Saccharomyces cerevisiae S288C: one gene and its partners. Changing the gene in region 2 together with the main gene of any one other region gives a genetic interaction. Each region holds a gene or a part of one and is shown on either strand. Other genes may lie near its edges. The genes, in order: TBS1, SHM2 and GLY1.

Region 1 (6,596 bases), on a different chromosome or scaffold from region 2:
TGAAAAGATTAAGGACCCTAAGGGGATCAGCGGACTGGTGAAGACTCCGGTTGATGATTCTGGAAAAACAATGTATGCTGCCGACGGTGACTATTTAGAAACTTACAAGCAATTGGAAAAAATTTACCTTGATCCTAACGATCATCGTGTGAGAGCCATTGGTGTCTCAAATTTTTCCATTGAGTATTTGGAACGTCTCATTAAGGAATGCAGAGTTAAGCCAACGGTGAACCAAGTGGAAACTCACCCTCACTTACCACAAATGGAACTAAGAAAGTTCTGCTTTATGCACGACATTCTGTTAACAGCATACTCACCATTAGGTTCCCATGGCGCACCAAACTTGAAAATCCCACTAGTGAAAAAGCTTGCCGAAAAGTACAATGTCACAGGAAATGACTTGCTAATTTCTTACCATATTAGACAAGGCACTATCGTAATTCCGAGATCCTTGAATCCAGTTAGGATTTCCTCGAGTATTGAATTCGCATCTTTGACAAAGGATGAATTACAAGAGTTGAACGACTTCGGTGAAAAATACCCAGTGAGATTCATCGATGAGCCATTTGCAGCCATCCTTCCAGAGTTTACTGGTAACGGACCAAACTTGGACAATTTAAAGTATTAAGACAACGACTTTATTTTCACTTTATTTAGTTCGCTTCTTAATCTTGTCAAAAACAAGATATTGTGTAATCGCCTCAAGTAAACAATATGTTTTTCATACGTGATTTGAAGTTTTTAAGTATCTGAAATACATACGCGCGCGTATGCATATGTATTAGTTAAATTACTCGAATGTCCTTTATATAATATTACATTTTTACACACACATTCTTGAAGAAGAAATCCCGATCGTAAAAAAAAACACCGTGCTCCAAATGGCCTTCAATCTTTTCGAATAATTTATTCGATTGTTCATTCTCATCTCTATAATCATTCGCCGTACGTTCAGGATATGACGCATCAAGCAGCGAAGCTAAACCTGTTGGAAATAAAGATCTGTCATAGTCATCGTCTTCTTCATCATCATCAGCACCATTATTACTATAATCATCATCATTGTCATCATCATCATCATCATCATCATCATCATCATCATCATCATCATCATCATCATCATCATCATTAATATTGTTGTCATTGTCATTATTGTTACTGTTACTGTAGTTATTGTTATTATTATTAATAGTACTACTACTATTATTGCCATTTTTATTATTATTATTATTATTATTATTATTATCGTCAGTATCATCAGCGCCAGTAGTCTCGTTATTATCAGTATTGGTACCATTACTATGATGATATTCCTCGCCTGGCTCAAGAGTTTTATTTTCCCACAATTTCGGAATGCTTGAAAATTGCAAGAAGTTCAAATCCTGGATTGTTATTTCATTGAAAATATTGAAGGACACTTCCATTTTTTCTTGGTCCTCTGTAACGAAACTACCAAATGCAGCCATCTTCTCTTTATTTATGAACGAAGTTTTCAAGAGCTCGACCATATCATCTTTTGATTCTCTCGTATGCTTAACTAACCTATTGAGAACACCCTCATAATAATTTGAATCAAAGGCATAGAATTTTGCGTATTTACTTGTCAGATTGAACTTTTCCATCGTACTCCGTAGAAAAAAAGTGTAAAAAAAAAGAGATGTTTGCCACTTCAGATTGTGTACTGAAAGACAGCGTTCTTCAGATCCAAGCATACGGGTATGTGTATCCCTCAATAATCCAATTATATAACCAGTCTCCATGGCATGTTCGTCATTAACCATAATCTCTGACAAATACAGAAACATGGAAAAAACCGTTGTGAGAGAAAAATACAGAAACTCATTCTGAACAGTAGGGTAGTATTCAAAATCTTTCAAAATATTAAGTACTTCGATGCAATTTCGCTTGAAATCCAATCTTGACCTTCTAATAATTTCAGCTATATCATGCCGGGAACTTTCCCGTTGATCTAAGTTATCTCCAATGATGGATATGACAAATAAACTCAGGGTTATCTTTTGATGGTACCATCTGAGGTGTAATAGAATAGTAGTACAACAACTCACTTCAAAATCTAACTTCGAAGAATCCAAAGATAAAATCCTCATGTTTTCCTTGTAATTTTCTAATGATAATATGGTGGGCAAATCGTCTCGCATTCTATCTAACGCCTTTTGATTTTCCAGTACATTTTCAATGATTTCATCTAGTGTATCGTCTAAAGTTGTTCTGATGGAAAAACATGAGTAATATATTTGAGACTCTATGAGGGATAATCTCGACAAAAAATATGATTGAATGTATGGTACATATTCAAGGTGATTCGCGAGTAAGTTTACAACGGATACAATATCTTTCACCCCTTCTAGTTTTGAATCATCGTATTTTATAGAAAGATTGGGCAGAATTTTATCTCTGAATAGTTCAACATAGCTTTCATCTGTTAATACATCAGTGTTTTCCTCCTTGAGAAAGGGCGGTCTTGACAACACCACAGAAAAGAATTTGTCTGTTGAAAAACAATAACACCACAAGCGTCTTCTTTTAATGATTTCATCAAGTTCTAGATCCTCATAGGTGGAATGTAAATTGAGCCGTAAATCCAAAGCCACTTTGATAGCAACGGATAGTACTTTGACCGCTGATGAAGCACTTATTTTTTGTTGGGCAAACTTTGCCAGTAACAGTAATGCCTTTAATGCCGTCATATCTGCGCGTGCTACAGACAGTTTATGGTAGTAATAGACAGAATTGAGAAAAGTGAAAGATCTGAGTCTCCATAATTCGAACTTCTCAAAATAATAGGTTTCATGATTATCTTCATCAACTAGCTCCTGCTTCTCCTCAAAATTTGTAACGGTGGCCCCAAGGCAGAGGCAGATATTTAGCAAAAATGCCTGTGATGATGTCAATCTTCCTTTAGCAGGATCAAAGTGCACGTCGGCAAATTGCAAACATTGATCTACATCCACTATGTGGAGAAGAGAGGCTAATGATGGACATTTTATATTTTTGAGCAAACGCTTTGCAATTGCTAAACGGGGCAGAGGATACAAAATATTATCACTAGATGGTGATGATGCGGATCGGAAAGAGAAGTCCAGGACCAGCTTGGTCTGTAAAATAGAATATTTGAAAGTAGTAGTAAACATTTCATTAATGGGCGAAAGAAATTCTTCGTCAGTTAAATGTGATAAAACATTTTGTCGAAAATGAAACATTTTTTGTTTTGTTAACAAGGCCTTTGAATATTGCTTTCTTTTAGGCCTTTTCATGTATTCTTTATCAATGACGTCAATTTTGCTTTTTTCAGCTAGCTTCTCTATTGTTCCCTTCATGTTTTTACAAATCTCTTCCAAAACAAAAACTTTCCCAGCAACCTTCGTATGGTTGAGTTCAATTTTTTCAAGCACTGTCCTGTCAATAGGAACAAAGTCAGGCCAAGTATCTTCTTTATCGCTTGCACTTTTGCCGGCAGAAACTCCAATATATTCTTGTGATAAGTTGGTGTGTAATTTCGGCGAGCTGTCTGTAGAAGAAGTATTTCTTGATCGCACGGCGATATCAAAATTTTCATCCTTGAACTTATTCTCCTTATCCAACCTCGGCTTCTTAACCGACTTCCCATTTCCCTTGTTATTCAAAGCTTCTTCTCGCCTTCTTTTCAGTTCTTCATGGAAATGAAACGTGCAATCTTTATTATACTTGATACAGTTTCTACATTTACCAGAAATCGGCTCGATTTCCGTACATCTAATCTTCCTCTTCCGACAATAATCACATGCTTTAGTCACTCTACTTTTGAAAGACTCCATGTTATATGCCAGAAAATTCTTATCAGCAGGCATCATATGAGCTAATGGGTGATGTCTTAAACGGTGATCCGGAAAAGGGCTCAACTGAGGCGACATTATTGTACCAGTTGGAACAGGCGGAAAATTTGATGGTACTGGAGGCATCGCAGGGACAGCGGGGCCCATTAAAACTCTTGTATTTTCGACTCTTTGATTATGTTTCTGGTTAGCTGCCCACTCAGAACTTTGCTTTTGTGTCTTATCCATGCTTCCATGACTACTTGTAATACCAGAATCCATATTCATTCACACAACTCCTGCTGGGCTTGTAATCATTGTTAACTTAAAAAAGAGTAGTCGTAATATAAAGTTTACTCTATTTTAAGTAGACTTTGGGCAGTGGCTGAAAATAGGCATGATAAATCAACATTTTCTGGCGGAGTAGGGTCAAAATGAAAATGTGGACCCTTTAGGGTATTATAAATATTTTTTAAAGGGCAATTTGAACTTTTTAGGTGCAAAGAAAATTCTGAAGGTATAAAAAAGAGGGTTCACCGGTGCTGCGGAAATAAAAGCGGAAATAAAGATGGAAATAAGGGCTAAAAGTTTCTTAAAACAAGTGCAAGGAGAGGGAGAGTTCCACTCTTGGCGCTGATGATATCTTCTATTTATATTGTTGAGATCATATGATGATAACGCAAAGTTGAAATTCTAACCGAATAGTAGTATAACATACTGGTTTTCTTTCTGTTCGAGGTATAAGAAAAGAAAGTACTTGGCTATATTCGGAGGAGGCAAGAAGGCGGCCAAGAGAGAGATATCTTCTTTGTCCTTTGAATTATGGCTTTTTTGAATATTTTCAAGCAAAAACGTGGTGATGAAGCTTCACAACTGAGCGCAAAGGGACGGGAGGAAATTTCTCAATCGATTAAGATATGCAAAAGTGACGATGCTGCTAACGAACATAGCTGCTCTGGTGATTGCAAAACAGAAATTGAAGAAGGAGAGCAGGCCTTTGCGAAACTAAAGATCGAACATGAAACTCCTTTGTTGAACTCTTCTAAAACGCCAAAAATTCACTTCGTTGTCCCCACCTCTCAAATCGATTGGCAGCATGATGCCTGCCTCGAGGACCCAAAGTCAGTACAGTATAAAATTTCCCAGTGGTGTGATAAGAATTCAGCTAAATTTTCCAACGTGGGCACAGGCAAGACACTAAACTGTGCAGTTTCATCTTTACCTAAAGATATCATGGATATTGATGTTATGCGGGGAACCAAGAATAATGTACTTATTTTGCCTTACTTCATTTGGCTGAACGACCTTAGATCAGATGACGTCGAAGCAACGCTGGATGGTTTAGTTCCTGACTTATTAGACGAGAATATTTCAAGAGAGAAATTGCTAGAAACACGACCAAATGTTGCCGTTGCACGTGAACGTGCATTTGTATTTATATGTTCACATACTACGAGGGATAAACGATGCGGGATTACGGCACCCTATTTAAAGAAAGTTTTTGACAGTAAATTACAGGAACATGGGCTGTATAGGGACAATTCGGATTACAGGGCAGAGGGTGTCAAAATTGCATTTGTTAATCATGTTGGTGGTCACAAATTTGCTGCAAATGTTCAAATTTATTTACGAAATCCAAATACCTTAATTTGGTTGGGAAGAGTAACTCCAACCATAGTTCCTTCTATTGTCGAACATCTGATTGTTCCTGAAGAACCAACGTTGCCGTTTCCCGAAAAAGTTCGCTGTATTAAGAAATATCAAAGCTGGTAAAGGTTGGCCAGCAAAATACAATCTTTTGACGCCATAAAATTTGCCATCAGAGTAGCTTTTAAATGTACATAGTTCTAAAGCACGCATATATATTTATAACGCTAAGATGATAATGAAAAGTTTTATTTGCAAAAGGGATCCTGTATTTCAACTTTCCATACATGAAAGATTCTTTGGCCATTTTCTTAATCCATTTCATATTTTCATCTGATTTTTTTTCTGTTTTCCACTTGCTGCTCATTATTTCATTTTATAATTTTTGCAAACATGCAATATTTCGCCATATATTGAGAAAAGCAATTCTTCGTTGTTCCCAGTAAAGAAAGAACAAATGCAGATTTCTACCGCCACCGCTAGATTAAGAATTTTTTTTGGTTACTGATTTGAATCACATACGATGAGTTTTAGACATTTCAAGAGGAGACTTGACACAAGCTCAGCAGATGAAAGCTCTTCGGCGGATGAAGAGCATCCAGACCAAAACGTATCTCTAACAGAAAAATCAGCCTCATTAAGCCATAGTGATTTGGGCGGCGAAATTTTAAATGGTACAGGAAAGAACCGCACCCCCAATGATGGCCAAGAATCAAATGAAAGTGATGGGAGTCCCGAAAGTGATGAGAGTCCCGAAAGTGAAGAAAGTAGCGACAACAGTGATTCGAGCGATAGTGACGATATGAGACCTTTACCGAGGCCATTATTTATGAAGAAAAAGGCCAATAATTTGCAGAAAGCTACCAAGATAGATCAACCCTGGAATGCCCAAGATGACGCACGAGTTCTGCAAACAAAGAAGGAAAATATGATAAAAAACATCGACAAAGCTAATCAAGTGGCAAAGAACTACGAAACGATGAAGCTGAGACTTAACACCAATTACAGCACCAACGAAGAATTGATCAAGCAGTGCTTGCTCTTAGATGATAACGATGAAGTCGATTCAGAAAAGGAGAGACAGAAATGGTTTGAAAGGCAGAACGAACGAAAGCAAAAGCATAGAAGAATACAACT
Region 2 (5,007 bases):
AATTCGAGTTGGACCCTTGCACTGATGAGACTAATGGGAATTGCGAGTTTAACGGCGAAACTAAATCACGAATGATTGCCAACGGCGAATATGAAACTTTTGAAAATGACCTAGATGTCGGGATCAAAGTTTCGAATTATGGGAAAGGTGGGAATGACCAGAAAGCTAAGAGAAATGTACTAAGCAAAGATGGGATAACAGAGACTCAAAACATAAAAGGTGATACTGTTGGAAGCTCGAAATCGATTGCTGAAATAGACGGCGACGAAGTAACGCAAATACGTAGAGTTTTTACGCTTGGTAAGGATATCAAACCGCATATTACAACGGACGATACCATGGGTTCTCAGTGGAAAAACCATCCAGACTGGCCATTTTGGGTCAACAAGGTAGAATCCAGAAGATTGTTGGATTCGAATATCATTGAATCTATATTTTATATGTACAGAATCAGTGGAGAACAAAAATGGAGAAGCATGGGTAAGCAGTCTTTTGGAATCTTAATGCAAGAATTAATGGAACTAAACAGTGGTGCCAAAGGATTGTGGCAAATAAAGGAATTTTATGAAAACGGTGAAAAAGTGAACAATGATTTACCTAGCTATTGGTTCTCCAGAACATTAAAATACTATTTGCTACTATTCAGCGATGGTGACAAGGTTTCCCTGGACAAACACATCTTAACTCAAGGAGGGCACATAATCAAAAAGAAATGAAGTTAACGTTAGAAAAATCGTACGCACATACATACATACATATAGGTACATATATACATAATGAGAAGAGGAGAAAATGAATACTTATACAGTAATGTTTATTTTTTTGGGATTAAGTGTCGTTGTGGTGATTTCTTTACACAGCCAATGGGTATTCGCCAGCCCAGTCGTAAATTTCCTTTTTCCAGGTGTTCAAAACATCAGAGCCTTCGTCGACCTTGGCTTTGAAGTCCTTTAATCTACAAGCATCCTTTGGCAAGCTTTGTTGAACTTGTTGAGCGAATTCTACAGCCTTGTTAATGTATTGAACAATTCTGTGGAAATCTTCTTCACCCATTCCTCTAGTGGTCATGGCTGGAGCCCCAATACGGACACCACCTGGAACCAAAGCAGATTTGTCACCTGGAATAGAGTTTTTGTTCAAAGCAATGTTAATCTTTTCACAAATGTATTCAACACGAGCACCATCAACACCCTTTTCTCTCAAGGATACTAGAACCATGTGAGAATCGGTACCGTTGGAAACTAATCTGTAGCCCAAGTTCTTAAATTCACTTTCCAAAGCCTTAGCATTCTTCAAGACTTGAGTTTGGTATTCCTTGAATTCTGGAGTGGCAGCTTGCTTCAAAGCAGTGGCCAAAGCAGCAATGGTATGGTTGTGTGGACCACCTTGGTGACCTGGGAAAACAGAGAAGTTAATTGGGTTTTCCAAGTCGTATAGAACTTCCTTACCGGTCTTAGGGTTGATAGATCTCACACCTCTTCTGAAGAAAATCATAGCACCACGTGGACCTCTCAAAGACTTGTGAGTGGTGGTGGTAACGATATCAGCGTATTCGAAAGGAGATGGGATGACACCTGCGGCGATCAAACCAGAAATGTGGGCCATGTCTACCATCAAGTAAGCACCACATTTGTCGGCGATTTCTCTCATTCTCTTGTAGTCAATTAAACGACAGTATGCTGAAGTACCAGCAACAAGAACCTTTGGTCTATATAGGATGGCGTTCTTTTCTAAAGTATCGTAGTCGATAATACCGGTTTCTGGGTTAACTCTGTATGGGAAAGATTCGAAGTATGTGGAAACAGCAGAAATTTTTCTGTTTTCAGTAGCGTAACCGTGAGACAAATGACCACCATCTGGTAGGTATAGACCCATCAATCTTTCATGAGGCTTCATAATAGCTTGATAAACCTGCAAGTTAGCAGGAGAACCAGATAAAGTTTGGACGTTAACACCCCATTTGTCTGGAGTAACATGGAAAGCTTTCAAAGCTCTTTGTTGACATAGAATTTCCATTCTGTCAATGTGTTCATTACCACCGTAGTAACGAGCACCTGGATAACCTTCAGAGTATTTGTTGGACAATGGAGTTCCAAGGGCATCGAAAACGGAGGTTGAGGTGAAATTTTCAGAAGCAATCAAATCGATGGAGTGCTTTTGTCTTTCAATTTCATCCTTGATAATGGAGTCCACTTCAGGGTCGGTGTCCACCAAATGAGAGGTGATCAACTTATGATGAGCGTCGGATAGAGTGTAAGGCATGTTAAGGAGGATTCGGTTTAAGCTGTTATGCTTTGCTATGGGGTAGTATCTTTCGTAAAGGTTACACTAGAAGAAGGAAAGATTACTGAACGCAAACTAAGGGAAGCAAGTTCTGCATTATATATAAAACAAGATGAAGAAGACTCATGGTTCGGTCTAAGATGATTATGAATTTAAAAATTATACAGAGTAAAAAGCGAACATGAGAAACCCAAGAGATAGAGTCAAACCTTTATGGTCAAAGCAACCTGAAAGGGTCATTTCTCACCAGGAGTCATGTTTCGTGTGTGAAATATTTGAAAAATTTCACTTCTTTTTTCTTTTTTTTTTTCTACATTAAAAATCGGTGCGTTGTCTTTTCAAAGATGAGGTAGATGAAGATGGTGACTCCGGCTGTTCAGATCCGATTGACTCGACCGACTCTGTTTCCTGTGGTGGCTTCAAGTAGTTGTCCATGTACCATTGCAATTGAGCTATGCTCTCTTTGATATCACTATAAGCAGTGTGGGCAGCTTCTTTTTTTGGATTACGTGCTTGTAAAGCGGGATTGTGTCTGCGGGCAACTTCCATGATGCTACTGACGTCAACTATTCTGTAAAAGAGATGATCAATGACCTTGGGAAACTCGCGGACCATGAACAAGCGGTCCATATGTACACTATTGCCTGCCAAGACGCCAACGTTCTTGTCTGGGATGTAGCGCTGGATGTACTCGAGCAGCTCATCTTCTACCTGGGCCAAAGTCTTCTCACTTGCCAAAACTTTGGCGGTGAGACCGCTATTACCGTGGTGCTCAATACACCACTCGTTCATTTTGTTCATCACCTCGGGACCATAATGGATGACGCTCTCATAATGCGAGTCTCCTTGGCCATCGGCCGCTTTGACGGGTGCCAGGTGTCCATCGGTGATGATGCAGCAAATCTCGATAATTCTGTCATTCACGTGGTCTAAACCGGTCATCTCGCAGTCGATCCAGACCAAGGGTTTGAACAGCTTGGTTTTAAGTTCGGGTGTTTGCGCCATTGATTGCAGGTTTTGGATGGTTCGAGGACGTAAGTACTGTGAAACGGATCTTCTGTACAGCGAGAAGAGGTTTGGGCGAGTGCGAGCTACGATTCTTGCCGGAAACAACAACCACTTCATCTTGATCTCTTCTGTTTATTTGTGAAAGCTCCTTTTCTTTTTTTTCATTTTCTTTGCAAATCGAAAAGTTCACACTGATTTTTTATTAGTTCTTTTAAGTGCCCAACTTGACAGGAAAAAGAAACACCCCAAAGGGAATACCAGTGTATGTAAGGCTTGAATTATACGTATGAGCATGCGTTTGATGGTTGTCGTCAGAGCCAGTGCTCTGAGAGTGTCCCAGATGACTACAACCCTTGTATAAAAGTACATCTTCTTGATTATTTATCACGACACACGAGGTGACCGATTATTCAGAATCGGTACCAAAAAAGAAAGAAAATTGAAGGAAATGAAAAATTTTCAATGTATTTCTCGAAAGCCTGGAGTTGATCAAATGTTCAAAAAATAGGGCAGAATAGCATAACACACATCAATAACACCGAGCCAGCATGCCTACCGTCTCCGTGAACAAGCAGCAATTATTTGATCTTCTAGGCAAAAACTACACTTCCCAAGAGTTCGATGAATTATGTTTTGAATTCGGTATGGAAATGGACGAAGACACCACAGAGGAGGCCTTGAAAACCGGGGAGGAGCCGGAATTGAAGCTTGATATCAGTGCCAATCGTTACGATTTGCTTTGTATCGAAGGTATTTCACAGTCGCTGAACGAATACTTGGAACGTAAAGAAAGACCTGACTATAAATTAAGCAAGCCAACCACTAAGTTGATCATCGACAAATCAACGGAGCAAATTAGACCTTTTGCTACCGCTGCTGTATTGAGAAATATCAAGCTTAACGAAAAATCTTACGCTTCTTTTATTGCCTTGCAAGATAAATTACATGCCAATCTATGTAGAAACAGAAGCTTGGTTGCCATGGGTACTCACGATTTAGATTCAATTGAAGGTCCATTCCATTACAGAGCTCTACCACCAAAGGACATCAAGTTCGTACCATTGAATCAAACCCAAGAGTTTACTGGTGACAAATTGATCGAGTTTTATAAATCTCCAGAACAGAAAAACAACATAGGGAGATACGTTCACATTATTGAGGATTCTCCAGTCTTCCCAGTTATTATGGACAGCAAAGATCGTGTTTGCTCCCTGCCACCATTAATCAATAGTGAACATTCGAAGATCTCTGTGAACACCCGTAACATTTTGATTGATATAACCGCCACCGATAAGACCAAAGCCGAGATCGTTTTGAACATATTAACTACAATGTTCTCACGTTATTGTGACGAACCATTCACGGTTGAGCCTGTAGAAATTGTCTCTGAACACAATGGCCAATCCCGTTTGGCGCCAAACTTCAACGATAGAATTATGGATGTCTCCATTAAGTACATCAACTCCTGTCTTGGCCTAGATCAATCCGCTGATGAAATTGCTCATTGTCTAAAGAAGATGTCGTTGCATGCCGTTCAATCAAAGGAAGACAAGGACATCTTGCACGTTGACATTCCGGTAACTAGACCTGATATTTTGCACGCTTGTGATATAATGGAAGATGCCGCTGTCGGTTATGGTTTCAATAATTTGCCAAAGGGTGAGAAATTATCCAATGCCAACTTCATTGCCAAACCATTACCAATCAACAAGGTTT
Region 3 (4,648 bases), on a different chromosome or scaffold from region 2:
CCGTTAATACCACTGGAGGCCTTGATAGAGTTCCCACCGATCGAGGAAGCCTTTTCGAGGATGGTTACAGGGATGTTATACTTGTTAACCAATTCATTGGCAGCAGCCAGCCCGGCCAAACCGGTTCCAATAACAACAACGGGAGAGAGAGACATTTACAATTACGGATGAGGGGTTGTTGAAGTGAAGATAAGAAAAAAAAATGGGGTGCTATGTCAGCGTATTGTTCTCAGCTTTTATACGTGCAATAGATTAAGCTGTTCAGGAACGCGACGCGTTGCCCCCGTTACCGTTTGAAAAGAAAAAAATTTTCTTTTTCATACCTGTCTCTATTGTTTCAGTCATTCACTGCATGATGACAAATGAAAGAAGAAAGACAATAGTAGTAAAAGCAAAAAAGGAATTAAAGTGAACGTTTTTTAGACTCTTACGCATACATATAAATATATATATATATTTGTATAAAAGGTGTACGTCGAAATCCTGTGAAGAAACCCTGCGAGAATATACATGGGTACATTCAATCTTAATACGTAGTATCGTAGAATACAAAGAAATGTGCTTCTCCACGTGGATACGTACCGTTGTAAACTTTAATCAAGTACCAAAAAAACCAAACATATTCAGTCGATCTCTCAATGGGGAACAAAGAAAAGAGGTTCTTACCTTTTTTTCCTCCTTCCCTCAGAAAGACCACCTTCGTCCCTCCATAATAGGGTAGTTAGTCGCTAGGTGCGCTGGAAACTAACCATTGGTTCTCAAATGTGCCGACATAATTAGTTATAATTATGGTGTGAGAGTTGAAATATCCTTGAATAACAAAACAGAAAAAAGAAAAAACCCATTTGAATATAAAAATCATTGATGCAAAAGAAAGCCGTTAAATCTACAATGCCACGAAATTATTGTAATGTATGAAAAAAAGGAAGAGGGTAGCAATCCTAAAACAAAAACCCTAACAATACACATGATGCAACTGGAACGCATCAGTATTTGTAGGTTTTTATTTCGCGGATAGCGTTGCCATCAACGTCGACCTCGGTGGATTCACTACGGTAAATCTGGGTAGGTCCGTTACAGTCGAAAGGATGTTCTTTAGCATAGTCGAAGGCCTCGGAGATGGCCAATTTGACTTTTTCCAAAGTATCTCTGGTGACTTGATAGTGGAACGAGACTCTACCACCCATTAGCTTAACGTTGTACTTCAAACCCTTCTTAACAAGGACATCTGGGTCCATTCTAGCGGCCTTCAGGTTAATAAAGACAAAGTTGGTGTCTGCTGGAGACTCTAGCGGGATGCCCTTTGCCTCACAATATTCGGCTAATTCATGAGCCAAAGAGTGCGAGTACAGCAATTGGGACTTCCAATCGTTGTTGATGTTTACAAGAGCCATTCTAGCCATCATACCAGATTGTCTAATACCACCACCTTGTTGTTTTCTGAAATGGGTGGCCTTCTTGACAAACTTAAGGTTCCCAACCAAGACGGACCCAATAGGAGCACCCATAGACTTGGATAGACAGATGGAGATGGAGTCGAAGATTTCCCCATATTGCTTTAATGGCACGCCAGATTGTGCAGCGGCATTCCAGATTCTGGCACCGTCACAATGTAGTTTGAGACCATTTTCCATACACCAAGCTTTGATGCGGACCAGTTCTTCCAATGGATAAACAATACCGTGTAAAGTGTTTTCCAGAGAAATCAATCTGGTGGGGGCACCGTGAATATCACCGTCGTCTGGGACGTAGTGTGACTTGATGTCTTCCAAGGTCAAGTAGTCACCGTTGGAAGGAACCACAGGAACCACCATCGCTTGAGACAAGATCGCCAGTCCAGCGGCTTCGTGAGTGTAAACGTGAGCCCTGTAATCACATAGAATAGAGTATGGAGGTTGCATCAAGTGAGTTCTGATGGCAATCTGGTTGGACAAAGTCCCAGAGACACAGAACAAACCTGCTTCTTTGCCAGCCATGCGGGCAACGGTCTGTTCGAGCCTAACGGTGTCAACATCTTCACCGTAGACAGCGTCACCGATAGAGGCCTCTAAAGCGGCCTCCATCATCTCTGCAGTTGGAGTGGTGAATGTGTCTGACCGCAAGTCGTTAGCAGCGGTGATATATTTTGGAGGCAATTCGAATTCAGTCATTGTGTTTATGTTTGCGTTTGTGTGCGGGAGTAAAAGTGAGTGTAAGCCTAGGAAAGGAGGTGGTTACGAACTAGCCAGCGGAAACAATGTACGTATATGTATGTAAGTATTACTCTATACCAGACAGAACAAGATAGACGAGAAGGACACATGGAGGATTTGACAGGCAAGCTCAACACTTGCTTATATATATACACATATGTGCTATTGCAAATGCAAAAAGCGTATATCCAGTGAAGAAAAAGACGAAAAAAGACGAAGAAATAAAAAGAAAAACCGGTGAACGAATATGGCAAGTGAAAAAGTGCGCAATGAGTAATACAAAGGGCGAAGCAGCGGGAAAAAAGAAACGGCGCTGCTGCCCGGAAACCGGAAGCGAAGCTTTGTGGGGTACGGGTGCATGCTCGGCTTTTTCCAGATAGGGGAAGTGCCGTCGCCAAAAAGGCAAGGGTCCGTTTCGCGTGACATTTCATAGCGGGCCAAGCGTGGGTCACGTGCTGCACAGGCCTGCCGCTGGCATGATTTGTCAGCACATATACAACAAGAAGTATTGGTTGCGTTGAAGAAAAAAAGAATAGTAATAACAATTTGGGGCCGTGTGTAAAAAAAATAGGAAACAGCTACCCCGGCGTGCCGTGTGGCTCTCTGTGCGAAGGAAGGCCCTGTCGCCGCACATATTCGATGAATATCGATGACGACGACTACCTTCTGGTTGCATAGTTTATTAGTCTGTGCCTGTTCTTCGGCGAGTGAGTAGATGAAAGAAAGAATGAGTTAGAGAGAATTCTAGGCCAGGTTCGGCTTAGTTAAGCTTAGCTTACTTTGGGTTTACTTAGCGTGCTTTTTTTCTTCCGCGCTGAGACGGTGAGGAATGGAAGTGTAAAGAAGCGAACGAGGGAAAAAAAGTTGTGACCTAGGGGAAGGTTAAAATTGTCATCATCATCAGCGTGAGAAAGTCGAAACAATGAGCGGTAGTAGGGGCAATAGCAGCAATAGTAGCGTCAGTAATAATAGTAATAATAACAATAATAATGACGGGGGCGACGAGAGATTGCTGTTTCTAAGAAGCGTGGGCGAACGCAATGAAATTGGCTTTCCCTCTAGATTCAAGTCGGCGCATTACAAGAAACCGACAAGAAGACACAAATCAGCGAGGCAGTTGATCTCGGACGAAAACAAGCGGATCAACGCCTTGTTGACCAAGGCTAACAAAGCTGCAGAGAGTTCTACTGCTGCTAGGCGACTTGTGCCCAAAGCGACGTACTTTAGCGTGGAAGCGCCACCGTCTATCAGGCCTGCCAAGAAGTACTGCGATGTTACTGGGTTGAAGGGCTTCTACAAGTCGCCTACGAACAACATTCGGTATCACAACGCAGAAATCTATCAGTTAATCGTAAAGCCGATGGCCCCCGGCGTCGATCAGGAGTACTTAAAATTGAGAGGGGCCAACTTCGTTCTAAAATAGGCATTGTATATGTATGTATGTATTTTAGCTTGTAGACAACCTTTCACACTTACATAGTTTGTCGCTGGTCACGTGCGACAATGCAAAATAGTGTAGAGTAAAGCTAAAAAGGACAAGATAAAGTGAAAAAAAAATAATAAAAAAAAAAAAGGAATATTGTTAATGGAAAGCGTGTAAAGACACATTACGCTCCTACCTAGGACTACCAACACATGCATGGATGCCAGTCTCTGTAATAACCACGGTTTTAGCATGTCTGTGGCTCTCTTATAGGCTCTATAAGTTTCTCACTATTCCTGTGTCCAGCATCGTCTCCACTTTGAAGATCAAAACTCCACCGGCAACAAAAGTGTCTATCGACAAAATAGCCACGGATTCAGTGACCATTCATTGGGAGAACGAACCTGTAAAAGCGGAGGACAATGGCAGTGCGGATAGAAACTTCATTTCCCACTATTTGTTGTATCTGAATAACACACAATTGGCTATCTTCCCAAACAACCCAAACTCCCTTTACACATGCTGCTCCATCACGGGTCTCGAGGCGGAGACGCAGTACCAGTTAGATTTTATAACGATTAACAACAAGGGCTTTATCAATAAGCTACCCTCCATTTACTGTATGACGAAGGCGAGAGAGGCGAATGAAGCGTTAAAGACTAGAAAATGGAGAAGAAACACCATCACATCGTCCACAGCTATGCAGCCCAGAAACTCCAAGTCCGAACCCGCCCCGTTGCCCTCTCACTACTCCTCTGTTTCCCTGTCTACTTTCTCATCCAATATTACTAATAGCGCCACCAGCAATAATGGTTCAAATCTACCCGCTTACACATCTTTGACTACGTTGAAGGATTTGGATTCGTTTTCCATCGATGATCTGAAAAAGATACTGATTTGCGCCCAGGAGGACTTACACGATGTGTTGTCCCAACAAACTTCGCTTTTGCAAGATTTTCAAGAATCGAAGTTAGAATTAGAACTAGAACTGGATAACTTGAAAACACATTGGTCGCACGAAATTGACTTGCGG

Evidence for each region.
Region 1: mutations in SHM2 (region 2) and TBS1 together harm fitness more than expected from each alone (negative genetic interaction), as found in Saccharomyces cerevisiae (2 studies listed by BioGRID).
Region 3: mutations in SHM2 (region 2) and GLY1 impair growth when combined (synthetic growth defect), as found in Saccharomyces cerevisiae (2 studies listed by BioGRID).

What each region holds. Positions count from the first base shown.
Region 1 is NC_001134.8:540,394-546,989, forward strand, and holds TBS1 (Tbs1p), read right to left. Parts: upstream 4,101-6,596; coding exon 816-4,100; downstream 1-815. Other genes in the region: D-arabinose 1-dehydrogenase (NAD(P)(+)) ARA1, read left to right, coding at 1-628; APD1 (Apd1p), read left to right, coding at 4,635-5,585; U4/U6-U5 snRNP complex subunit SPP381, read left to right, coding at 5,983-6,596.
Region 2 is NC_001144.5:257,140-262,146, forward strand, and holds SHM2 (glycine hydroxymethyltransferase SHM2), read right to left. Parts: upstream 2,263-5,007; coding exon 853-2,262; downstream 1-852. Other genes in the region: putative mannosidase MNL2, read left to right, coding at 1-716; REX2 (Rex2p), read right to left, coding at 2,599-3,408; FRS1 (phenylalanine--tRNA ligase subunit beta), read left to right, coding at 3,840-5,007. UniProt on the Saccharomyces cerevisiae protein: Interconversion of serine and glycine.
Region 3 is NC_001137.3:66,643-71,290, forward strand, and holds GLY1 (threonine aldolase GLY1), read right to left. Parts: upstream 2,151-4,648; coding exon 987-2,150; downstream 1-986. Other genes in the region: FRD1 (fumarate reductase), read right to left, coding at 1-155; IES6 (Ies6p), read left to right, coding at 3,115-3,615; GTA1 (Gta1p), read left to right, coding at 3,836-4,648. UniProt on the Saccharomyces cerevisiae protein: Catalyzes the cleavage of L-allo-threonine and L-threonine to glycine and acetaldehyde.